Nothobranchius furzeri: one gene and its partners. The protein of the gene in region 1 purifies or fractionates together with the protein of each later gene. This does not show direct contact. Links are inferred from orthologs where the notes say so. Each region holds a gene or a part of one and is shown in the gene's direction. Other genes may lie near its edges. The genes, in order: stx18, snap29, scfd1, scfd2, rint1, sec22bb and srprb.

What was found.
Region 2: the proteins of stx18 (region 1) and snap29 purify together in Homo sapiens (affinity purification with mass spectrometry; 3 studies listed by BioGRID and IntAct, counting the BioPlex papers as one, with this or other methods). This does not show direct contact. The link is inferred for Nothobranchius furzeri from reciprocal best matches to the Homo sapiens genes STX18 and SNAP29.
Region 3: the proteins of stx18 (region 1) and scfd1 purify together in Homo sapiens (affinity purification with mass spectrometry; 5 studies listed by BioGRID and IntAct, counting the BioPlex papers as one, with this or other methods). This does not show direct contact. The link is inferred for Nothobranchius furzeri from reciprocal best matches to the Homo sapiens genes STX18 and SCFD1.
Region 4: the proteins of stx18 (region 1) and scfd2 purify together in Homo sapiens (co-immunoprecipitation; 3 studies listed by BioGRID and IntAct, counting the BioPlex papers as one, with this or other methods). This does not show direct contact. The link is inferred for Nothobranchius furzeri from reciprocal best matches to the Homo sapiens genes STX18 and SCFD2.
Region 5: the proteins of stx18 (region 1) and rint1 purify together in Homo sapiens (co-immunoprecipitation; 6 studies listed by BioGRID and IntAct, counting the BioPlex papers as one, with this or other methods). This does not show direct contact. The link is inferred for Nothobranchius furzeri from reciprocal best matches to the Homo sapiens genes STX18 and RINT1.
Region 6: the proteins of stx18 (region 1) and sec22bb purify together in Homo sapiens (affinity purification with mass spectrometry; 5 studies listed by BioGRID and IntAct, counting the BioPlex papers as one, with this or other methods). This does not show direct contact. The link is inferred for Nothobranchius furzeri from reciprocal best matches to the Homo sapiens genes STX18 and SEC22B.
Region 7: the proteins of stx18 (region 1) and srprb purify together in Homo sapiens (affinity purification with mass spectrometry; 3 studies listed by BioGRID and IntAct, counting the BioPlex papers as one, with this or other methods). This does not show direct contact. The link is inferred for Nothobranchius furzeri from reciprocal best matches to the Homo sapiens genes STX18 and SRPRB.

What each region holds. Positions count from the first base shown.
Region 1 is NC_091743.1:54,501,813-54,505,756, forward strand, and holds the start of stx18 (syntaxin-18), read left to right. Parts: upstream 1-1,144; 5' UTR 1,145-1,205; coding exon 1,206-1,358; intron 1,359-3,590; coding exon of another isoform or gene 3,591-3,678; intron 3,679-3,944. UniProt on the Homo sapiens protein: Syntaxin that may be involved in targeting and fusion of Golgi-derived retrograde transport vesicles with the ER.
Region 2 is NC_091757.1:55,819,076-55,823,080, reverse strand, and holds the start of snap29 (synaptosomal-associated protein 29), read left to right. Parts: upstream 1-1,205; 5' UTR 1,206-1,462; intron 1,463-2,157; coding exon 2,158-2,394; intron 2,395-2,632; coding exon 2,633-2,826; intron 2,827-3,712; coding exon 3,713-3,798; intron 3,799-3,879; coding exon 3,880-3,984; intron 3,985-4,005. Other genes in the region: pi4kab (phosphatidylinositol 4-kinase, catalytic, alpha b), read right to left, coding at 1,026-1,124. UniProt on the Homo sapiens protein: SNAREs, soluble N-ethylmaleimide-sensitive factor-attachment protein receptors, are essential proteins for fusion of cellular membranes.
Region 3 is NC_091758.1:18,052,494-18,055,993, reverse strand, and holds part of scfd1 (sec1 family domain-containing protein 1), read left to right. Parts: intron 1-460; coding exon 461-536; intron 537-1,030; coding exon 1,031-1,084; intron 1,085-3,500. UniProt on the Homo sapiens protein: Plays a role in SNARE-pin assembly and Golgi-to-ER retrograde transport via its interaction with COG4. Involved in vesicular transport between the endoplasmic reticulum and the Golgi.
Region 4 is NC_091748.1:39,881,051-39,884,550, reverse strand, and holds part of scfd2 (sec1 family domain-containing protein 2), read left to right. Parts: intron 1-1,893; coding exon 1,894-2,069; intron 2,070-3,500. UniProt on the Homo sapiens protein: May be involved in protein transport.
Region 5 is NC_091741.1:64,267,313-64,270,812, reverse strand, and holds part of rint1 (RAD50-interacting protein 1), read left to right. Parts: intron 1-1,614; coding exon 1,615-1,840; intron 1,841-2,095; coding exon 2,096-2,233; intron 2,234-2,840; coding exon 2,841-2,935; intron 2,936-3,500. UniProt on the Homo sapiens protein: Involved in regulation of membrane traffic between the Golgi and the endoplasmic reticulum (ER); the function is proposed to depend on its association in the NRZ complex which is believed to play a role in SNARE assembly at the ER.
Region 6 is NC_091748.1:52,853,415-52,855,575, reverse strand, and holds the end of sec22bb (vesicle-trafficking protein SEC22b-B), read left to right. Parts: intron 1-1,068; coding exon 1,069-1,215; intron 1,216-1,300; coding exon 1,301-1,455; 3' UTR 1,456-1,661; downstream 1,662-2,161. UniProt on the Homo sapiens protein: SNARE involved in targeting and fusion of ER-derived transport vesicles with the Golgi complex as well as Golgi-derived retrograde transport vesicles with the ER.
Region 7 is NC_091753.1:42,154,364-42,158,613, reverse strand, and holds srprb (signal recognition particle receptor subunit beta), read left to right. Parts: upstream 1-1,450; 5' UTR 1,451-1,670; coding exon 1,671-1,812; intron 1,813-2,076; coding exon 2,077-2,171; intron 2,172-2,248; coding exon 2,249-2,326; intron 2,327-2,411; coding exon 2,412-2,494; intron 2,495-2,688; coding exon 2,689-2,825; intron 2,826-2,937; coding exon 2,938-2,992; intron 2,993-3,340; coding exon 3,341-3,554; 3' UTR 3,555-4,130; downstream 4,131-4,250. Other genes in the region: col26a1 (collagen alpha-1(XXVI) chain), read right to left, coding at 226-345, 457-629. UniProt on the Homo sapiens protein: Component of the signal recognition particle (SRP) complex receptor (SR). Ensures, in conjunction with the SRP complex, the correct targeting of the nascent secretory proteins to the endoplasmic reticulum membrane system.

The sequences.
Region 1 (3,944 bases):
GTGATCATTTTTATTTTAATCACAACTGTAAATATTAACATGTATAAAATGTATTACATTTTTTACAATAATACTGCAATTATATTGCAGTAATTTCTCACTATCTATCCAATTCAATTCAAACATACTTTATTAATCCCAGAGGGAAATTGATTAAACCGATCACATTCTGATTAATACGGAAGAGGGTTAAGGCCACTGAAAAGAAAAAAATGAAAAAAAGACTATTCTAGCTTTTGTCTTAGAATTTAAAGTTTTTTATTCTCACATTTCCAACTTTGACAATTCTGAGGGGGAAAAAGTCATAAATCTGAGAAAAAAGTCAGATTTCTCTTTCTTTTCAGTTGCCCTAATCCTCTTCCACAGTTTTATTAGTAAGTTCAGGATATCCATATTAAATTCTGTCACCCGTGTTGTTGAATTTCCATCAGTTCAGAGACTAAAGAGTCCTGCTGACAGGTTCATAACGGAAACAACTGTTGGAGTCACGAATTGTTCAGCAGAAAATCCTTCTTTTGAGAAAAAATGTCATATTAGTTCTTGTAAAAATATAGTAATGGGCTCAGAGTTCAATATGAATTCTGCATTAGCGGCGCAAGAAGAAGACAGTCCTGTTCAGGTCTCGTTAGACATCCCTTTAACAGACTGCAGGGTTATTCCTCGAGGAAACACACAAAAACAAGTTAATTCTATCAGCTTTTCCTGACCCTCATTCACCAGGCACACCTTCTGATAATTTTCCTCCCCATACACTTTTTTTCAACAGCATGCTATAAAAATGCATTATTAAATTCTGCAAAAGCCTGGTATTGAAACATTTATTATATGTAATGAAATTGATAAATAGAGAAACAGTATAACATTTAAAATATACAGGATAATATTCAAAATGACCATGATTTAAAAAGACTTTCTCTTAATACTTTTTAACCTTAAATTGTTAATTTTAAGGGTTTTTCTCAATTATAAAAACTATTCCCTTAAAAAACAAACATCAATTAAACAATATAAGGTGGAAGGCTCACCGTATGTGATTATTATAAAGAAGCAAAATCTTTTTCATTTGCTGAAACAGTCCAAACCTAAATTCTAAAGCTCTCTTCTCCAGCTCAGGGAAAACCTGTAGCGTCGCAGGAGAATGACATCATGTTCGGTGACGTGTCAGTTTGTTTACCGTGTCGTGGTGCAGCTGCACACAGAGAAGCATGGCAGTGGATATAACTTTACTTTTCAAAGCGAGCGTGAAGACAGTCAAAACCAGGAACAAGGCTATAGGAGTGGGCTTTGAGTCTACAAAAGATGAGATTTTTAAGAAAAGCAAACCGAAGGGCGGCTTCTCACCGCGAGCTAAAGAAGTGGTGAGTGTTTTACCGCAGCTAGCGAAACTAGCTCTGACAGCCTCCATATGATCCTGATAATCGTTGTATGGCTTCTTAAAACAAAATTTACTAACGACTAGAATTCTTTTACTAGACTCTGAGAGGCAGCAAGCGCCTCTTATTTAAAGCAGAGGGTAAACTTTTCACCCGGAAACTTTTATAATAGGTATCTGTACAGTTGGCAGCTAATGCTACATTCATATTTATCCTGAATAAAGCCAGTTGAAACGTTTTAAAATGCACATAATATAGGTATTCGTTCAAGTTTGTTTTGCATTTTGGCCAATTCAATAAAATATGTTACATTTTAAAGTGAAAATTTAAAAAAAAGAAGTGGCCTAAATAAGTTATAGCTGTAATACAAATCTCAAGAACAGTAATTAAACAAGATAGCATGAATATTTAATATGATTTAGTGACTCTGAGATACATTTTACTCGTGATCATCTTCAAATCAGAGTGTTTAACTTGCCATATTCAATTAACTTGCTTTTTAAAACCAACTTCAATCAAAGGTACTCTTAAACCTAATATAGATTTTTTCTAAATTGAGTAACTTTTATCAACCTTTCTAATCAGTCATCTGTAGGTTTGATGAGTGTAAAAAAACCAGCATCTTCCTCAGTCCTTAGATGTAATTCACAATCTAGGATGTGCTCTGATCCGTAGGACCCAATCTATTTTACTTTTTTCAAAACGCTTCTATTCTCTGTTTATTTTCTATATTCCATGTTTTCTGACTTAACCATATTTTCTCCTAAAATGATTCATTTTATAGGAAATTAATAACTTCAACAAATAAAATCGTGTGTGTGTGTGTGTGTGTGTGTGTGTGTGTGTGTGTGTACTAGATATTGACAAGTTCAACAGAAAAATCAGTACAATATTAAGATACTTAACAATTTGATGTAAATCACTACATCAAAAATATCTCCATTTTTAAAAATTAAGTTTTACACATAGGTGTTCAGTGTGAGAAGAAAAATAAAAATGCCTCACATATGAAATTAAAATGTATCCATTTTATCTCCGCTACACAAGAGGGGGCCTATTTTATGTAATAAAATATGTAATTTATTACACAAAATAAGTAAGAAAATGGTCCATGACTCTGTCTGCAGTGTTTTACATCATGAAAATAATATAGTCCTTCATCAGCTATTTATGTGGGAAACACATCTCCTACACTGATAAGAATTAATTTTCATAAGACAGTGCCAAAGCTGAAACAAACACATTGAAACTATTAATTGCTTTGAATACACAAGAGCCAAAAACTTGAATTGCATTACCAATGAGATGTCTTTACACTTTTTTCTTTTCAATAATGACTTTGCAAAGCATCAAACTATCATCAGCTTTTAGACTGGAGCTTGACAGTAGACCCCGGAGTCAAGTGAAATATATATATATATATATATATTATTTTATTTTATTTTATTTTATTGCTTTGAATTTATTGCTTCAATGTGTGCAAACCTCACTAAAATCAAGGCATTGCAATAAATCAATTATTTAAAAAATATAAAAAAAAATTAGCACCAACATAATAACAAAGCACCATATAAAATAAAACTCAAAATAAAACGTTTCACTTGAACCCACTCATAAATAATAATAAATTATTAATAAATAAAAATAATAAATTGTAAATGTACAGGCTTATAACTGAAAGGCCTGCTGAGAATACTGGTAGAATTAACCCTTTAAGCACCAAAGTCGCATTATTGCTGCATTTTAGAAGCCACAGCTGCAAATATAATCCGTTATGAAGTTTTTGCTTTACACCAGAAGATAGAGATGTGTAACTTCAAGCTGAGCAACACTTTTGGGTGTTGCTATTAAAATTTTCTAATTTTATAAAGTTTGAAAACCTGCCCCCCTCATGTGCCTCTCTGCCTGTGAGTAACCAGAGTAGTTCTCTGTGTAGAGTTAAACAGAGGATGAATCTGGCAGGCCAGGCTACCAGCCATCTGCCCTGTCACAGGAATGTGCATCATTTAATTCAGCCACAAATTGAGGATGTACTAGCGACAATTATAGAATTTAATCGTAATATAAACATGTTTGTTATCAATGTACTTCCTGAACATGTGATGGTTTTTGGTAGATAAATTAAGAAAATTATGTAAATACAGAAATAAAGTTATTAGTATTAATTTAAATAAACTTCAATTTGTTGTCCTTTTTCTTTCCTAAATTGTGCTGAAGCATCGGATCTGGAAAGAATGTGCCTGTATATCATGAACAGAGACGTCTTCAAAGGCAACTTGAAGAAGCACTTTATGTTCCCCATGGGGTAAGAGGGCTCTAAGTGGTGCCCGATGGCTCCAACCATCAGCCTGAAGCAAACTTGAGCCTAGTGGCTCTTACTTCTGCTCAACCAGGTTTTTGTTATGTTCTGTTCCATTGATATTGGAAATGGCGGTTTAATAAAAGCACTGCTGCTGATTCCAAGGAAACCCAAACTCCTGTGGTTCCTGCCTCATGCTTCGCCCCTTCTCCTCCTGCTGTCTCCTCTGCTGCAGATATCATCTCAGAAAAAGGTTTATGTAGAAATTGAAA
Region 2 (4,005 bases), on another chromosome or scaffold:
CGACCACGAAAGAGAAGGAAAAAAGGTAATCTGGTCATTTCAAAACAATGAAATTTTTCAATCTAATTACACTTTCCTTCACTAACTGAACTTGCACATTGCATTATTAAAATACCAGTATTTAAAGTTATTATATAGTATTTAAACGTTTTACGAGATCTGGGAGCAAATAAACACTGGGGTTTTGCGGAAGTTTGTGGTAATTATGCCATAAAATGCATCACTAAGTTAAAACCTAAAGATGACATTAAAGGTTTGTGGCTTTTCCAAATAAACTTTATATCTAAAAGTCAATAATATGTCACAAGGGTTCTGCTATTTCTTTATAGTATCAGTCTCAAATGTTGCAGTGTTTCTTGTTTTACGACACCTGCATGATCCAATATTTACCTGTCTTATAACTGAAATTTTACAACAATGTAACTGAAATTATTTCTGATTTTTGTAAAAAAAAAAAACATTTGTACTGTATTCAACCCGTTATTAATACACATGAATTTTCCATGTTTTATTACCTGTTTGATATTCTAGCTAAAACTCTAAATACACAATAGATAATGGAGTGCGTGGATAGTTGGTTCAACAAAATCAATCAAATCGACTCTCGTGCGAGCTTCTCTTAAGTGGTGAAGTAAATCTTCTTCATTCTCCACCCTGTAGTTTGAACAGGTTAGTATCCACAACCAGCTGAGCACTTTCCCCCCTCATCTGTAAACCTGTTTGACCGCAGCGAGGCTGGCTACTCCGCCTGAGTGATGCAGTAGCAGGAACCACACAAGCGCAGCAACAGCCCGTTTATCTTCTGATACGGGAGAGGGAAACATTAATTCCCGTACTGGTGACTTCTAAATGCAAACATAAACGGAACTGTCAAACGTTAATCTTGTCTGTAATCAAAATAAGGCACCGCCTGGGCGTGCGGAAGCGGAGCAACACCCTAAACACCAGTGGTCATTACTGTTCCGACCTAAGCTAATTTTATGCTAATTTTTGTCAAGAGAAAATTACTCTGGATTTTTCCTCACCTTGTCGACGGGGGCAGGACGATGAGCAGCAAGTGAGCGGGCCAGCGATAGAACTGTGTTGAAATAAAACCCTCTCGTACTGCCTCCCATTAAAGACATGTTTACGATTCCATCAAGCCAGCGTTATGATTCAACAATAAGAGGAAACGGCAGAGCAGCGGCAACTAGCGTTAGGATACCGCAGTACGGACGGAAGCCCAACACGGACAATTCCATGTTGCGCCATTCAATATATTGAAGCTATTTACTTTTTTTTATTTAACCAAGTAAGCTAAGTTAAACATATCCCATCCGAATTTTTTATATTTTAAATTTTTATTTATATTATTTTATACACGAGGAGTACTTTTATACTTTTTGTTGCGCACGGCACACCACTACGTCATCCAACGTGACACAGTGCTCATCTGTAGCACTGAGTTATCGACAGTCAGAAGGTGAGTGTCGTTTTAATTATCATTTTTAGGGTGTCGTTTGGCACATGCTATTTCATAGCTGAAAAGGTGTTTACAGTCAAACTACACCGCGGCTTTGTCTCTCGGGTGTGGCTGTTTGACGTGTGGGTCGGCTAGTTCTGCTAGCAGTATCTTCTCGAACATGCTAGCCAACACCTATTAAATAACAACACAGAACAACAAATATTATTGTCTTTAGGTTGTATAATACCGGTGCCATACAGCAGTGAACTGCTTGGAGCCACCCATCATTTAAAACATGTTTTCTTCTGTGAAGACTGAAACTTGTTGAAAGTAGAAAAGAGTTCTTTTCAAAATACAGCTAAACTTTTTTCAGATTAATGTGTCAACTTATCTGTTGATGCTAATGGTAAGTTGTCGTTATGTTGTAGGGACTGTAATACGTTACAAGCTACTTTTTTTATATTATTATCTATCTTGGCAGGTGTTCTCACGTGTATTTTTAGAAAAGTAACTTATGAGGACTTATTTGGATTTTAATCACTTCTTTTATGACTTATTTCAGTTTCTCACAACATGATATTATTTCACTTTCTTAATGTCAAAAGCTTTGCTTAGTGGTTTTTATACAGCAGATGAGCACACTTAATCCTGTTGACATATATTTAAGACTTTAGATAATATTATTTTGTCAACACTGTGCGTTTAACTTTCAGATGGCCTACCCAAAATCTCACAATCCATTTGCTGATGACGAGGAGGAGGAAGGATTTAAGCCTAAAAATAGGGATTTTGATGGTGAAGCTGATGACAGCGGGCTGTCTGACGCTGAGAGGAGGCAGAGGTATCTCCGACAGGAAGTAATGCGCACAGCACAGTCTGCTGTGGATAGCAGCCATCGTTCCCTTGGTCTCATTTATGAATCTGAGAAGATGGGTGTGGAAACTGCAGAGGTATAAGTCCATCCATCTATCCATGCATTCTTCATCCATTTTTTGCTCATTTATTTTAATGTTCTTCTTTCTCTTTTGGCTTTTGCCTTCAATGGTCCCTATGGTGAATTGTCTGTCGTCATTCAGTCCTTTCCTATCTGCATTCTCTACCCTCACATTAACTTCACATCCTCTTTCACCGCATCCATAAATATCCTTCCTCGGTTGCTCATTTATTTTTATGTGTATATGTGTTTAGGAGTTGGTGCGACAAGGTGAAGCTCTGAAGAGGGCTGACAAGATGTTGGAGGGTATGGATCAGGACCTGAAAACCAGCCAAAAGCATATTAACTCTATCAAGAGTGTGTGGGGAGGTCTTGTCAATTACTTCAAGGGTAAGCCAGATGCAAAGCCAACCCCTGAAGAGCCAAAAGCCTACGAGACCAATGAACGGTACGTTTCAGTCACTCCTGTGCTGCTGTCATATCAATACCATTTTCTTATTTGTTGCAGGTCCAACACTTTAGACTTTTTACTGCTTTTGCTATTGTCATTTTTACAAATATTCAATAACTTTTATTTTAAAGTTGAATGCAAATCAAGTTCTAAAGCTTAATGGAATAGAAGTTATAAAATATTACAGCATTTAAAGAATCATAATTATTAGGATTAAAAGTTGAAATCTGACTTCATACTAATACAACTGATTCATTTACTAGACCTTCTAAGCTACAACGCTACAAAATGTTAGAAATGTATAATGGTAAATGGCCTGTATTTGATATAGCGCCACCTAGAGTCCTATAACCCCCCAAGGCGCTTTACATCACAGTCATTCACCCAGTCACACCCTGGTGGGGATGAGCTACGATGTAGCCACAGCTGCCCTGGGGCGCACTGACAGAGGCAAGTCTGGCGAGCGAGCACTGGCACCACCGGTCCATTTGACCACCATCAGCAGGCAAGGGGGGTAAAGTGTCTTGCCCAAGGACACAACGACAGCGACAAACTGAGCGGGGCTCGAAGCTGCAACCTTCTAATTACGGGGCGAGCACTGAGCTCCTGTGCCACCAACACCTCATAGTATCAGTAGTTGACCTAAAGTTACTGTTTTATTTCTAAAGTATCCCTGAATTTACAAACCAAGCACTGCTGGAGGATTTTCAGAGGTTACTACAGGTGAGGTGTAGCTCCTCCCTCACCTCTAGCACATGTACTAAGGTGCTTCATGTGTTTAATGAAAGTAGCCCCAAACGTTATTTATCATAGAATCCAGAACATGATCATTATCTGGAAATTTCAGTTCATTTCTTGTTTTGAATTGTACTTTTTGTCTCAGATTACAGAAGGCCATGTCCAGCAGCAGAGAACATGAAGATAAATACCAAGCGAGCCACCCCAATCTAAGAAAACTGGAGACAGGAGGTGGGCGTTGGCACATGAACCTGGGTATGTTTTAATCATCCCATGAACCAGCCGTCATCATTTCTCCTTCCTGTGTTCCAGGTTTTGGAGCAGCTTCATCCTTGGATTCTGGCTCATCCGGACAGAATGGATACCCACAGAACAGCTACCTCAAGGAGGCTCACCACACCCTTGATAAAAATTTGGGTAAAAATAATTCATTTCTGT
Region 3 (3,500 bases), on another chromosome or scaffold:
AACAATTTAACCCTCCCACACTCCTAATGGTTGTGACCCCGCAAGGAAAGTTGACCATTGAGCAGGGTTGATGGTTTATCCCTCGAGGTCCATGTGGCAGAGATGAGGAGGTCCACGTGGTCCCCTGACACGTGGACCTCGAGGGATAAACCATCATCAGTCCTGCTCAATGGTCAACTTTCCTCGCGGGGTCACCCATAAAGACAGTGGGAGGGTTAGAGTTTATGAAAGTAGGAAAAGCAGAAGATGTTCCTCTGAAATGCAGCTAAGAACAGAAATAATTCAGGGATTTTAGCTGGTTTTGTTTCTCTCCAGATGAATACAGATTCTGATTTTAATAAAGCTGAAGCATAAAATAATGTTGACTCAGGTTTTTGTTTGTTTTTAAGCAGCGTGCTTTCGTTTACCATCTTAACCATTTTTTCTGTCTTGTTTCTCTTCCCTCCTCTTCTCTCTACAGCCTGTTCTCCAGAGTCATGAACACCGGCTCCCAGTTTGTCATGGAGGGTGTGAAGAACTTGGTGCTCAAGCAGCATGTGAGTAAAGCACTGAGGAAGTTCTCAAACTGCCTCAGACTCAGCTTTTACCACAGCTACTCCACAAACGCCAGGGCAGATAGTAAAAGGATCAGGAATTGTGCCAAGCACACGGATACTGGAGTTCCTGAACCACTGACCCCGGAAGATCAGGATAGAAGATGAGACTTTGCTCACCATCATTCTCAAACTGGTTCATTTCAGGATGTCGTCCTGAGTCCTGCTCTTGGTTCAGAGTTCACTTCATCCTGCAAATGCCAGAATGTTCCTCAAAAGCCACCTGATTTATTAATAAATAATCACACTTTTAGCATCTGGCTGCAAACAGAAGCAGATTTGTGCAAATTCTGAAAAATGTAGTTTTCTGCTGGGAGTTCTCCGTCTTCAGGGGGAATTAAAATATCAAGTTTTGTGATCAAATATATTTTTCCACGTAGTTTTTCTTTTCTTCATTTGCGTGTTTTAAAACTGATTTTATTTTATTTTGGTTTTAGAATCTTCCAGTCACTCGGATTCTGGACAACCTGATGGAGATGAAGTCACATCCTGTGAGTTCAGTCACTGTTTCTACTTATTGGATTTATTTTCTCCTACATCAGAGCAGATCACCACGACCACCGGTCTGAAAGTGATAACCCTTAGATTAACTATTCTATAATTATTCTAGCTGGTCCGCTTTATTTCTTCTCAGTGGCCTGCAGTGATGGGAATAACACCGTTTAAAATAACGGAATTACTAAAAAAAAGGTAGTTTTTTCAGTAACTAGTAATCTAATTAGTTACCATCTTTTATCGTAATGCCATTTTCGTTACTGATCAGAAAATGCGTGTGTTACTAATTCAGCAGCACAGTGTGTTGAAGCTGCCTTCAGCTGATTGGGAGCTAAAGAGGCGGATGTTTTCATCCGAGCGCATCGCGGCCCGTGGAGAATGAGGAAGACGTGATGAATATTCTGCAGACCCGCAGATTTGCTACTGCAAGCGTGAATCTGCAGCCGTGCCCTTCTTGGCGGGACAGCGGGACGTCCTGATCCTTCTACCTTCCTAGATCATCCAGCTGTAACCTGTTTCTGATCATTTAGTCCCGCTGTAACACTGATGCATCAGTCTCAGACATAGTGGGAGCTCAGGTGTTATTAGAACTACCTGTGTGTGTTTACCACCCAGCTTCAGCTCTTCTGTGGTTGGGTCTGACCCAAGTTAGTAAATGTAAGTCCCCCATCAGGCTTGTGCTTCTTCTAGTGTCATTTTAAAGGATATTTATTTATTTATTTAACCATTACTAGATTACCAGCAACAGAAATGCTGGTAAAAACACACAATTATGTGAAGCTGGAAAAATTAGAAAACCGTGCAGAATCACATTTATTTCAGTAATTTAACTAGACCGAGAGACCATTTAAAGGCTCAGGAACCTTTACAGGTGTGTCTATTTGCAATTATAAATTTTAGCTGATTGGTTAAATATCACACAGTCACATTTTAATAGTCTAGATTAGTGTAATGTTCCAGTTTGTAGTTCCTCCTGTTAAGTGCCCATTTATTTCAATTATTCAGTTTTATACAAAACATTTGGACATACATTTTATTATTTTCCAGTCTAAGTTTAACTAAGAGGAGAACCCATTTTTCTTGCATTGTTTAATGAAAAAAAGTAACAAAATATTTATTCTTCTTGGTAATTAGTAACTTTTATAATCTTGTAACTCAGTAAGTAACTGAGTAACTTTTTTGGCAAAATTATCAGTAACTATAACTAATTACTTTTTAAAAATAACATTCCCAACACTGGTGGCCTAGTGGTAGAGTGTCCGCCCTGGGACTGGGAGATCTGTTCAAATCCCGATCGGGTCATACCAAATACTTTAAAAATGCTTGAGTCTTAGCCTTAAGGGGTTGGATTGGGAGGTTAACCCACTCGTCTTCCACTACTCTGCTTAGATGGTACTCCCAACAGATGTGGTTTCCAGCTTCAGATACTTAGGATTGCCTATCAGCAACCAGCTGATCTGCAGCAGTCTAGTGGAGAGGGCACATCAACAGCTGTATGTCTCCCAGAGACTCAGACAGGGAGGACCTAGGATCAGTCCTCTGATCCATCTACAGATGTGTGGTGAAGAGCATCACTGTGTGGTACGGAACTTGTTCTGCAGCATGTGGCCAAAGCTGCACAGGATTACCAGATGCATTATGTCACTAGTGTAGGATACCTTCACCTCCAGATGCAGGAGCAGGGTTTCAGTAGTGACGTTCACCAACAAATCAGATCATTTGAACATCTCTTCAAAGTGAACCATGAGAGCAGAGTCCTTGTAGACAACAGTTCATTTTGTCTTTCGGTAAAAACACACACACACACACACACACACACACACACACACACACACACGCACACACACACACACACACACACACACACACACACGCACTCTCGCACACACACACACACACACACACACACGCACGCGCACACACACACACACACACACACACACACACACACACACACACACACCTGTAGGTTTCTCAGCAGCTGGTGTTACAGACCACAGAGAGGTCCTGTTGTTCTTGGTCTGAAGAGGAGGGGTGAAGATGAAAGAAATAGAGGAGCACATTCTGTTCTTATCAGATTGTCCTCTGTGTGAATGTGGTTCTTCTTGGTTTCTGGTTCAGGTTCCACAAAACATAAGAGGAATGTTGACTTCATGGTTACACACCGAACCTTAATGTCTTATGTTTGCTCGCTAATAAAACCGTCTTAAACTGTTTTTGTGTTTTGTTAGAGTGAATTTTTTTCATTATCTGTATAATTTCTAGGCTTTTATCTGTCACATGAGTGTATTTCCTTTTTCTGTTGTAAATTTGAAGCTGATCTTTTCAGAAATTTCACACAAAACTCTTCAATGAAAGTAAAACTCATTAGAGCTGTCTTTCTGCACAATCATGGTCCGGTTCATGGCCGTT
Region 4 (3,500 bases), on another chromosome or scaffold:
TGATCAAGATCATTGATGCCCTTTATCATTGGACTCAATCCTGTCTGCCTGCTAGCAACTTATCTACTGAACCTCTGGACAGAATTGAATAAAAATCGAATCCTGCCATAGACGACTGACCTTAGCAAACACAAAACCGTCAGTGAGTTTTACAGATGTTGAGCTAAGATTTCATGTGTTCACCAGAACACCCTATTCTGATCACATCAGCCGTTATTCAGCAGCTTCATTCGCTGCCAGTAAAGTTCAGGGTCCACTACAAAATTTGAGTCCTTACGTATAAGGCCAATCATAATCTCGTCCCCTCTTATCTCTCACAGCTCTTACAAGTCACTAAACCCTCTCACATGCTCAGATCCTCTTCTTCCATCAACTTAAATAATCCACCACCTCGTCTTGTCACGATGGGATACCGGGCATAGCAGATCGGCTCCCCCCCTATGGAACTCATTACCTGCTCACCTTAGGAACATGACTACCCTTCACCAATTTCAGGCTAATCTCAAAACTCGCCGGTTCCAAATTGCTTATTGACTTTAACTGTTAGTGTTTTATCTGATGTTTTATTTGGGTTTTTAATTTTCTAGTCATTGAATGTTTCAAGTTTTTATTTATTTTTAACCTGATTGTACAGTGACCTTGGGTTTTTTGAAAGGTGCTCCAAATAAAATGTATTATTATTATAATTATTATTATATTCATTTTTATTTAAAATTTTATCTATTTTTATTTTTATTGTAGCACAAACAGTGATTTCTCTCTGACACCAGCTGAAAGTTAAAGTCCCACTAGTTGTCAGCTCCTCTAAATCTGAGACCATGGTCTTGATTCGGAAAAGGGTAGAATGCCTTCTCCGGGTCAGGGATGAGGTCCTGCCCCAAGCGAAGGAGTTTTAATATCTCGGGGTCTTGTTCACGCGTGAGGGAAAGTTGGAGCATGAGATTGTTGCACCGGTCTGTCGTGATGAAGAGAGAGCTGAGCCAGAAGGCAAAGCTCTTGATTTACCGGTCGATCTACATTCCTACCCTCAACTATGGTCACGAGCTTTGGGTAGTGACAGAAACGAGATTGCAGAAACAAGCGGCTGAAATAATTTTCTCTGCAGGGTAGCTGGGCTCTCCCTTAGAGATAGGGTGAGAAGCTCAGTCATCCGGGAGGGGCTCAGAGAGACCCGCTGCACCTCCGCATTGAGAGGAGCCAGTTGAGGTGGCTCTGGCATCTGGTTAGGATGCCTCCCTGGTGAGGATTTCTGGGCACGTCCAACCGAGTGGAGACCTAAACAAAAACCCAGGACACACTGGAGAGACTATGTCTCTCGGCTGGCCCGGGAACGCCTTAGGATTCCCCTGGAGGAGTTAGCCCAAGTGGCTGGGGAGAGGGAAGTCTGGGCCTCCCTGTTTAGGCTACTGACCCCGCGACCCGACCCCAGATAAGCAGCCGAAAATGGATGGATCGATAATTGTCATGCTGGTGTGTGAAATTAGTTCTCTGCATTTGACTCATCCTCTGAGAGAGCGGTGAGCCGCAGACACGGCCACGCTTGGGTTCCATTTGGTGGTTAAATCTCCCAAGGTGAGGGTCAAGCAGTGGAGCAGTATGTCCCATTTTTAGAAGTCTTTGGGATGACCCTGCTGTGGATTTGTGACCAATTCTAAGCCTTTAATGATTAAATGTTAATTTTTTTTTTGTTAATCTGATTTCTTGATGTTTTCCTCGTCCCATCATTGCCTGAACACCTGTGTATGTTTGTGTGAATATTTCCAGTGAAACAAAAATAAAAATATCCTGATGATAACAGTGAGGAAAACAATAACATATGTATGTTATGTGACAAATAGAAAACTGGATGTTTGTACTGTTGTGAAAATCCTCCCCTCTGATTTCACTTCTCAGGACGTGTGACCCCGGAGCAACTGTGTTCTTACGTAAAGCTGTTCCGGAGAAGTTGGGAGGCACTAGAGAGTCACTGCGGGCTCCTCCAGCTGGGCCTGGCCACGGCCCAGACACTTCGACATCCCAGCTTGGCCCGCTGGGATGCCTGTCTGGCCTTTGAAAGGCTGCTGCTGCAGGTGCGCACTCATCTTCTACAAGTTCACTATTCTTATGTTGCAATCCGTAACAACTCCATTACTGACACATCAGAGTGAGAAAGCTGCATATTCAAGCTAATTTGTGTCCTCCAAGGTGATATTTTCTTACCAAGACTAATCTGGTAGGTGTATGGTTTCTAACATGGTGTTCAGATTGTTGGATTTACAGATTTACTTTGAACTTTTCCCTGCAAACGTCAGTTTTCTGTTCGGGGAACATTTATTTCCACTAAGCGCAGCAAAAAAATGAAACAGATTTCCATCATGTTGTTTGGTAGTTGTAGAGTCTGGGAAGGGAAGAGGTTGGTTTTACAGATGGGAGGGCAGGAGTGGATGTGCTGGAGTACTGGAAGGTCAAAGAGCAAGTTTTACAAATCAAAAACCAGAGTCATATTCATATTTTTAGTAGCGATCAGCAGATATTTAGTATTCAATCACACAAGCTGAACTGAGCCAAACCAGTGGCAAACTACTCCTGAGGCCATGTCCTCCCCCTGCATTTTTATTGAGCCTGTTTACGTTCCTGAAGATGCAAGGCCAACAGTAGGATGGCAGAGTATTTGGGAACTTATTAAACCAAATCACGGAAAAATAAAACACGCTGGTAGCTCGGGCCAAGTTGGAATTTGGAAAACAATCTTTTAAACCCCAATGCTCCGATAGGATCACTCGTTTATTAAACTAAGGAATGTGGATTGAGAGCCTATGCTGTCCCAGTATTGTTTAATGTACGGCTCCTTGGATTCGCTCCGGTGTCCGTCCTACCTGGATCCTTCATGTCAACTTTGTTGCGTTTTTAGTCCTGATCAATTAAATTTGCCTCCACTACCTCCAGTTTTGTTTTTGTTTAATGGAACTGGTCACAGTCAGGTTTTAAGAGTTGTGCTCAGCATCAGTGTTTTATTTGATTTTGAAACTTTTGGCTTGAGTTCAAAACATACTTTCATTGAAAATCAGATCTCACCATCGGGCCTTCGGCTTAATGCGAGAGCTGCAATCAAAACAGTTCTGAGTTTTACTGAAGAATTTAAGGAAATGAGTTGTGTCCTCTCTGTTGATTTGAGCTAAATGTGAGGTTTTTATTTATTTATTTATTTGCTTTGCCTCAACCTTAGAGAGAAAAAAAAGTTATTACACAGAAAAATGGTGGGATGAAATGGCTCTTAGACCTGCCAGGCAGTTGAGGTGTGTTTGCTCAGTCTGAGTGTGTGTGCACCTGTGTGTGTGTGTGTGTGTGTGTTGGGGGGGGGGGGGGGGGGGGGGGGGGGGCACTGGCTGGACACTCTGCTGTTGGTCTGAGTTCATACAGGCCACCTCCTATGTGGAACACAGGGACCATGGAGTAGGTTGGTGCTCTGATGAGGTGAGGGGCTGTCGAGTTCAGAGAAGGGAATTTTACACTAACTTGGT
Region 5 (3,500 bases), on another chromosome or scaffold:
CAGGTGGTAATCAGCTGACCGCTCAGCTCCCCTCCTCACTCAGTAGTCACAGACACGTGGATGCTGATTTGATGATACCATTACAAAACCGATTTCTGACCTGTGACCCAGAATGTAATATAACCACTAATGTTTAAAAACAGTTCTTCAAATTTGTGTAATTAAACTGGCTGTATGAGTCCAAGTGTCATTTTCCTCTTTAACTTTTGCCTTCATTGTGAATCTGTTGGGTGACGAAGCCAGTTGTCGAGTTAATATGTGAGCTCTGTTGCAATCTTTTAATATTTGTCTTGAGGGGATTATAACGCTTACTGTAAAATAATCACAAATCAGCCAAACGTCTCAATCATGTTGGAAGGAAGGTTACATTGAAGCTGGCTGGGGGGTTGTCAGTTTTTCTCCTTTCAAACTGGACAAAGGGATGTAGCCACAATATGTGGCTCTCTGTGAGGCAGTCTGTGAGCTTGCTGGGCTGCCAAGTCTGCACCAATTCGGCGCTGCTGTGTTTTGTTTAAGATCCTTCTAAGCCAGTAAACAGGAGTGACCCAGAAGTTATTTCTTGTACTCCCAAGAAGCCACAGCATATTTTTGTTTTACTCTAATATCAGGTGAAGAAGGCTTATAGGCTAACGTTAAGCTAACATTGCTAATGGTGAATTGGAAGCAAATAGTCTGCTCAAAAAATATCCCAAGCTATGTTTTCAATTACCAATAACTCGATAATACAGTGGAATATATTTATATACTTACCAACTTACTCTGTATGGCTCGTCCTTGCTCGTCATCTAGAATTTCTGGTGCTGAGCCGTAACTGGAAACAGCCTCGATATCCTCGGTACAGGGGTGAGAGAGTCGCTCTATGTTTAGAAAAATGAGCTGCAGTAACCAAACGTGATCACAGAATGCAATTCTTATTCATTTCCTACATCTTGCACATTAGAATCTTAGAATCTGTCATTCATGCTTTTATTACTTCCTGTTTAGATTATGCCAACTCTATCCTCTTTGGTGTTCCAGCTTCAGCTCTAAATCGACTCCAGGTGGTTCAGAACGCTGCAACCAGGTTCCTGACGAACACTAACAGGCGTTCACACATTACTCCCGTTCTGACACATCTGCATTGGTTACCTGTAAACCTACGAGTCAAGTTCAAGCTCCTGACCGTTGTCTTTAAGATTTTGAATGGCTCTGCTCCAGGATATCTCTCTGACTTGATCAGTCCCTACATGCCATATCGGGCTCTGAGGTCAGCTGACCATCTGTTGCTCAGTGTACCATCTATGAGATATAAATGGCGGGTTGAGCGGGATTTGGTGTTTGCTGCCCCTAATTTATTGAATGCACTCCCAATCAGGCAGACTCCCTCCCTCTTTCATTTTAAATCGGTTTTAAAGACTTATTTTGATGATATGACTTTCTCTTATTGCTGATGTTTTACTGTTTTATTGTTGTTCTTGCTGTGTTTGACCCTCAGTGTTTTTATCCTTGTACAGCACTTTGGTCAGCTGACATGCTGTGTTTGAAATGTGCTTTATAAATAAGTGGTATGATATTTAAATGTGAATGTTTGTAGTTTGCTGACTGCCTGCTATCTCCAATTATTCCTGTGTCTAGGTGGAGCTGTGTCGTGGGTTGATGTCTTTAGTCCAGGAGAAGGTAGCCAGTGATGCTTCTCGGATGCTTTACGATGATGTTCTCTTCTGTCACCTGGTGGAGGAGGTGCTGCAGTTTGAGAAGGAGCTACGGAGTAATTATTCATATCCAGCAGTGCTGCCGGGTCTTTTTCACATTCTGCTTGAGGATGCGGTCCTTCAGAAGTGGCTTTCCATGGAAAAGAAGAGTGAGTTCTCATGTGTTAGCATCTTTTGGCTTTGATTGGGCGTGTGATGCCACGCAGGTATGTGTGTGGGGGGGTTAACTGAAGCTGAGAAGCCGTGCCGATGGTCGATTTTACGTGGAATAAGAAATGTAGGGAAATTTATACAAAACATCGACAAATATCATCAGGCGTAACAGCAGTAATAATATCGGATATCGATATTGGTGAGGATGAAACGGTCCAACTGCATGTGTACCGGTCTGTTTTTATTTGCAGTGGCAGTGGAGAAGATGGATGCCATGTTGTCTGCTGAGGGAGCGTGGACGTCTCAGTATAAAGATATCAGTGACATGGATGAACTGAACGCTCCAGAATGTGCAGAGACATTCATGACTTTACTGCAGGTCATCACAGGTAAGTTGGGACTAATGTTTTCAAAGCAAAGCTGTTCAATAAAAAACATAAAAGAATAAAAGTTAAATTCGCTCACAAATGCATATGGAACACGTGTGTGTGTGTGTGTGTGTGGGGGGGGGGGGGGGGGGGGGGTTTGGTTGTTGGGAGGGTCTCTTCATTGCTAAATGACTGCACTTATGTCAGCCGGAGTCACTTTATTTTTCTGCTGCCATGCCTAACTCTGATGTTCCTACAGCTCTCATTGCTACAGTCTAACCAGCTGTTTGCTACTGCACTGCTGGTTTTCAGCTGGGAGATAATTCACTACCACCTAAAGTGTGTGTGTGTGTGTGTGTGTGTGTGTGTGTGTGTGTGTGTGTGTGTGTGTGTGTGTGTGTGATAGATTTCTTTTTCATACAATATGGATTATTATGCACACTTGACTTGAAAACACTGCTTGATGGTCTACTTTTACTTATGTGAGTCAGGTATATGATGATCCTGGTAAAAATCTAGACTACCAATCTGGGCTAATTTGATCATTTTAGGCTATTTACTACGTTTCCTAGGTCATTGTGATAAGTAACGCTGATGTTTACTTGTTTCTGTCTGGTGTCAAACCCAGAGCGGTACCAGGCTTTGCCCAGCCCTGCAGCACAGCTGAAGTTCCTGGAGCTGCAGAAGGAGCTGGTTGATGACTTCAGAATTCGACTGACACAGGTAATCACGACGCTCAGGTTAGAGTGTGATAAAAAAGTGCAGCAGGAAGCAGCAGCCAAAGGAAATACTTTCTCTGGCTTTTCTAACTGTAAGTTGAGGATGAAGGGTTTGTGTGAGGTCATCTAATGAGTTTAGAGGTGTTTGAAGGAGGAGACCATTGATCCTCAGTGGGGAGGAGCCACCTTCCTGCTTCCCGTAGTCCACCACCTTACATCCTCAGGTTGTTGGTCTGACACCACTGTGATATGTTCAAAACCCTTTGGTTCATTCCTGCTTCATTCTGACAATATTGGTGTAATTTTTAATCATATTTTGAATATAAATCAGTTGTGACAAACGAGAACAAACAAACAAACGAGTGCTACATAACTGCGTAAGGATCTCAAAGAACTGCTGACTCACTGTTATGTTGTGGCTGGCCTGCTTCTGCATATGGACCTGAAGGACTCTCAGACCTCTTCGCCTGGTTAAGATGATAGAAGCTAAAACAAAAACACTAATAGTGCTGTGATGATGACGATGGAACACAAAGAGAGGAATAAGTAGAATCTGGGTTTATCGCTGC
Region 6 (2,161 bases), on another chromosome or scaffold:
CTCTCCTTCTCCCTTGCTGACCGTTTCTCTGTTATGTTCATTGCAACAGTCGGAAAGGTTTTTCTGCACTTCCAGACACTGAATTGGAAAAACCTCTCAGGTGTTACGGTACGGAGCAGCTTGAGTAACAAATACTACAACAGTGAAGCTTGCTCATCTTGTTGATCAAGTTCGTGTTATGAAAGTCACCGAGGGGCTACCATGAGGTGTCATGTAGGCTACCAAAGTGCAATCTCTGAGCTTTTCTGCACTTTTGTTATTTTCTGATGTCCTGAACAGCTCATGGATTACGGTAATACGGAGGAGGCATGTGAAATGCTGTCAGCAGCGACAGCCTGGTTGCTCAGAATCGTGTTCATATAGATATCAGGAAACTCGATTCCTGGTCAGATATTTGGATATAAAAGCTAAATCGTGATGAAATTATATTGTTTAAATCTCATTCCCACACAGGGTGGTGTGCCACAGAAGCATGGATGAATGCACGTAGTATCATGGCTTCCTTTCTGAATTAGTTCAGAATATCAGTCAGTAACAATCCATCAGTCCATCCGTTATCTGTACCCACTTATCCACGCTGGGGGCTCCAACAGTCTCTAGGCAAACAGGCGGGGTGCACCCTGGACTGGTTGCCAGTCTATTGCAGGGCAACACAGACACACAGGACAAACAACCATGCACACACACACACACTCACACCTAAGTATAATTTAGAGAGACCAATCAACCTGACAGTCATGCTTGTGGACTGTGGGAGGGAGCCGGAGTACCCGGAGAGGACCCACGCACGCAAACTCCATGCAGAAAGACCCCAGGGCGGGATGCGAACCCAGGACCTCGCATCAAACCTTCAGCTTTAAAACAGATGTCCCAAATGCTGCATCTTCTCCGGAAACAGTAGTAGCTGCAGAGCTGATGAAGCTTTACTGAAATTCCACAAAAAAAAAAATCCTCAATTGTGCAGATAAATGAGCCTAAAACTGTAAACTGTGAAGTGTTTGAAGCAAACAACTCATGGCTTCATTGTTACTTTTCTGTTTTTCTGTTGCGTTTTTTTTTCTCTTTTAGACACCTACATTCAAAAAACCAAGAAGTCGTACATCGACAGCCGAGCACGGAGGAATCTGGGTAGCATCAACACGGAGCTGCAGGACGTCCAGAGGATCATGGTGGCAAACATAGAGGAGGTTCTGCAGAGAGGAGAGGCTCTCTCTGGTCAGTCTTGGTCATTTGAGGCTGAAGCTTCAATCTAAAAGAGGAAAAACCTCATCTGGATCATCTTGTTTTCTTCTCCTTGCAGCGCTCGACTCCAAGGCCAGCAATCTGTCCAGCTTGTCAAAGAAGTACAGGAGTGATGCCAAATACCTGAACACCCGCTCCACCTACGCCAAGCTGGCAGCAGGTGGCGTCTTTTTCATCATGCTCATCGTCTACGTGCGCTTCTGGTGGCTCTGAGAGAGGAAGAGGGAGGAGGTAGTGAAGTGGAAACGAGCTGCAGGCCGTCTGCGAGTGCTGAGAAAAAGCAGCACTTTCGACCCAAAAGGATCCCTGCTCTTAATGAGACTTTACACACACGCACACACACACACACGCGCACACACACACACACACACACAAGCACTCATTTTGTCCTTAATTGTCCGTATGTGGGTCTGAATAGCAACGGTGTCATGAAACAATGTTTTCTAATTAACAGTCATTCTCTATCTATGGCCCTCGGATTGTAGAGGAAATTAGTGTGTGTGTGTGTGTGAGAGTGTGTGGGTTGCCTGTTTTTGAATGTGATTTCTGTGCAAAGGTAGAGAAAAAATTTATTTCCCGTTTTGTTCATTAACCTTCTGTATGTCTAAGGATACAGATAAAGGACACAAACCACATCATTATTTTCCTTTTTGCTCCTAATCTCATAAACGTGCATAACGCGTCCGATTCATCACTAAATGATCTCCGCTGTAATTTAGGCACAAACATTTGAGGCAGATTTCATTTAAAGTAGTGTTTGAACGGTTCACAAATACAACTATCTGTTTTATTTACCTTTATTGTGATGAGACAGGATGTGACATCAGACGTTATGCAGTGACTCAGAAGGGGCGAGCAACCGAAGGTGGTTCATCTCAACCCGTTCCCAGCTTTTACCCACAAGATAAAAATAAGTTTC
Region 7 (4,250 bases), on another chromosome or scaffold:
GTGACAAAGATCTGTTTTAGATTTAGCTTTGTTTATACACAACACAGCATTAGCTCTGCTAAGATCAACCCTTTCAATCTCAGAATGGGTGCAAATGATTCATGACAGTTTCAGGGTGTTTTGATCACTAAAGGAGCCCTGCTTCATTTCCCTAACTGACTGTAAACAGGAAACCAGCAGCACTGGGAGCTGAAGGGGGCAGACCAGTGAGGACTCGGAGGGTACCTGATGACTTTGGCACATGGTCCCGGCCATCTGCAGCCCAACACTCTCTGCACGGAGGTTTCGGTCCCGTTGTGCACTTTACATGGAACAGTCCTGGAGACGGTGTGCTGGCACCAGTTCCTGCGATGCACAATGAAAGAGATCAAAAGCAACTGGAAGTAACCAGTGCGATAAAAAAATGCTCCACTCAACACCAACAGAGTTTGCAGAAAGTGTAAATAAAAAGTGTACCTGAGTTGGTTCCGGGATCCAGAACCTGGTGGACCCGTGGTTCGGCTCTGTTCCGACTTGATGCGCGGTCGCTGCAGGCTGATGCCTGGAAAGTGATAGATGAACCCAGTTCCGAGGGAAGCGCACACTAAACTCACCCACACGCACAGCGCGTAGAGGTAAGACAAAGCCATGCTCTCTGAATGACAGAAATATTCAAAAGAAGTCGATGTTTTTCAAGTAAATCCGTCTTTAATGACGAAAAAACTACAGTACTTTCACAAAGAGGAGTAATCTAAGCAGATCCCGCTGAATCCATCAGTGGGGGTTTGTCATTTCTTGTTCCGACGAGAAACAAGCTGCCCCCCTCAAGAGCCCGTTATGAAGGACACTCAGCCATTTCCTATAGAATAACTTCTCTCTGACGTTTGACATCCAACCGAGGAGTCAAATATCCAGTGTGCGTAAAAAACGTGCAGACTGTGAGGGCTGGAGACGTGCGTAAAAACGCATCTGGTCTCAATTGAAAACAAAAATAAAATAACAAGATTCCATGTTACAAAACTCATGCTTTTAGTCTGTTTCACATTTATACCTTGATTGTTTTCACATGAGGTCTTCTACAGAAACATCGGCAAGGTTGGGAATAAATGAGGACTAGAAAACACTTTCTGTTCGCTTTTTCAAAAGGACTCCAATAAAATCTAACCTATATGCGGTAGTTCGCCTTTAGCTACATATAATACAGTTTAAGATGATTTACAATTATTAAAAATAAAAATAATAAATAAATGCACCAAACTCAGAAATAAAGCTGAATTTTTATTTATAATCTCTTTTCACTTCCCTTCACGTGAGGCCTACAATGTCTACTTAGTTTAAGAGGGGAAAGCTATCTTTTTTACAGTATGTTCCTATTAAAATGTACGTTCCAAAAAATATAGATAGTTGAATTATTATCTCAGAGTTATCACATATTTCATACTTTTATTTGGGGAAATGGATTTGTAAAAACATGAAAAAACATGTCTCTTACTTCTTAATGTTCATAAAGTAAAACAAAATAAAATCGAAAGTGATATTCATTTTTTCCGAGAGAAAACTCTTATTATATTTATGTGATTATTATTATTGAGCAGCAGCTCTGCAGCGCCCTCTGCTGTTCACTCAAGCTCGCCACAGGCTCCAGGAAGCAGACGTGTCCAATTTCAGTTACGAACAGCAGCAGTGGAAACATGGGCGAAAAAACACACAAGGACTCACCTGAAAACCCGTTTGAGCCTTTTATTGAATCTCTCCGTCAGCAAGTTGAAGACCAAGACCCAGTAATTCTGATCGGAGTAATCGTAGCTTTAGCGGTGGTTGTCATCACCTGCGGTAAGAAGGAACCGTAAGTTAGCTTAGCATGCTAGCTTTAGCAAACTAGCCTTAGCGTGTAGGCTAGTATCATGCCGTTTCAAAGCGGGTTTCTCAGTAAAGCTGGAAAAAACGTTTTCAGTGTGTTTACAAAATGCTCAATTAACACGCAAGAACAATAAAATAATATCTCTTAGCTGCAACAGTGTAAGGAGTCATTCAACTTCGGTTTTAGCTAATAAAAATATTGAATAAATAACAATCCTTTCCACATTTCCTCTTTAGTTTTCCTGAAGTATTTTCTAACCAGTAAAACAGTCCAGAGTGCCATTCTGTTGGTCGGATTATGTGACTCTGGGAAAACCCTCCTGTTTATTAGGGTGAGTTGATGTTGGGACCACCATGGCCACGTTAGCACTGTCTTTCCTTTTCATTAAAAGTGTTTTATTTGTTTCAGCTGCTGTCAGGGAAGTTCAAGCGGACACAGACATCCATCACTGACAGTAGTGCGCCATACAGAGCTAAAAATGAAAGGGTAAGTCTTCTTTTCCTTCTGCATCAAAGCATAAAACTGTTATTATAGGTTGACAATGATTGACAGCTCTGTCCATAACTTTTAGAGCAGCTCCTGGACACTGATTGACCTGCCAGGACACGATAGTCTCCGGTTTCAGTACCTGGAGAAGTTCAAGTCTTCAGCCAGGTGAGAACAGCATAAGTGCATGGTTCAGTAATCTCTTCATTGGTGCTTTTAGCATATTTGTGCACAGTTTTGTTGCAATGCAACAACTCTTTTCCACTAAATAGGATTTAAAACCAAAAAAGAATCAAGCCTAATTATTTCCTCATGAGCCCATTCTCATCACCACTCTAAAATCTTACCCTTTCTTTCTGCAGAGCCATTGTGTTTGTTGTAGACAGTGCCATCTTCCAGAAGGAAGTGAGGGACGTGGCAGAGTTTCTGTACATGCTGTTGACGGACACCGTGATCTCCAGAAACGCCCCGACTCTTCTGGTGGCGTGCAACAAACAAGGTGAAACAACCTGTTTACTTTAAATAAACAACTTAAATCACCTCGTTGCGTCAGTCAAACTAAACCGCTCTTCTATAAACTGGAAACTCTTCTGCTGCTTTTATTTTGATAGACATCACCATGGCCAAATCAGCTAAACTGATTCAACATCAACTGGAAAAGGAGCTGTAAGTAAACCTAATTTGATCAGATTCCTGATTATTTTTAGCACAACTGTTATAATCTCTTTTAAGAGAGATTGCGAAGTCACATTTATTAAAAAATACACGAATGAGGGAGATGCTGCAATCTTTCTAGGATGTAATTCTAGACAAAATATTGTTTTTGAGTGGCTTCAGACAAAAAAATTCACAACCCTCTTTAGTCGTTGAGGATAAATAAATATCCCATTTAGTCTCATTAACAGCACTTTTTAAAAATCTCCTGGCCATTACACAAATCAAAGTCAACATCAAACTCATTCCTGAGGGTTAAAACTGCTGAATGGAATTCTGAGAATGTCATTTTTCTGACAGAAACACCTTGCGAGTGACTCGCTCGGCAGCCCTGAGTGCTCAAGACGGCTCTGTGGGCGGCAGCGTGTATCTTGGGAAAAAAGGCAAGGACTTTGAGTTCAGCCAACTGCCCATGAGGGTGGAGTTCCTGGAGTGCAGCGCCCGGAGCAGCAGCAAAGGTGAAGAGGGGGAAGCGGACATCGAGAGCCTGGAGAAGAGCCTGGCTAAGCTATAAAATCAGCAGCGAGACACAATCGGCGTACAACTTCAACAGGAGTGACGGGTCACCCTGCCCGACGTAAAGACATTTGTCCTCGTGTAAAAGTAATCAGATTTACTTAAAGCTTGTCTGAGCTGTGAAACACTGAAAATAGATGAGCACGAGCAGCATTTCAGTCTTTGTTATTCATATAAAATGTTAAGTTTGCAGAATAAGTGTTCTTGTTTGAAAGTGTTATATATGAATACAGTGAATTTAAGAACATAAGTTTATTGCGCTTAAGTTTGAATCAAACTTCTTTATTAAATAAAAAAAAAAACAGATGAGACAGGTTGATTAACATTTAAGCACAAAAAATACGTTTTCTCCTCAAGCGTTTACGTTTCAACCAAGTTGTGTATGTTTTAAGCAACGTGTCTCCCTCAAGACAGATGTGGGTTTTTTGTTAGAATAGCTGTGTTCAAATATCTTCTAGAGCAGCTTTCTTTGAGCTTTTGTTTTCTGACATCTGGTGTGGATTCAGAAGTTTTGTCACTCTATAAAAAGAGCTGCAAACTTCAGTTAAACATTAAAAACATGTTTCTCCAGTCAGATGTGGTTGTTTTAAATGTAATTAGTGTGAGACAAATGGTTTATTTTACGAGATGACATGTTTAAAATACCACACAGCGTGTTTTTATGTTAAGGACTGATGTTTCATTCACATCACAT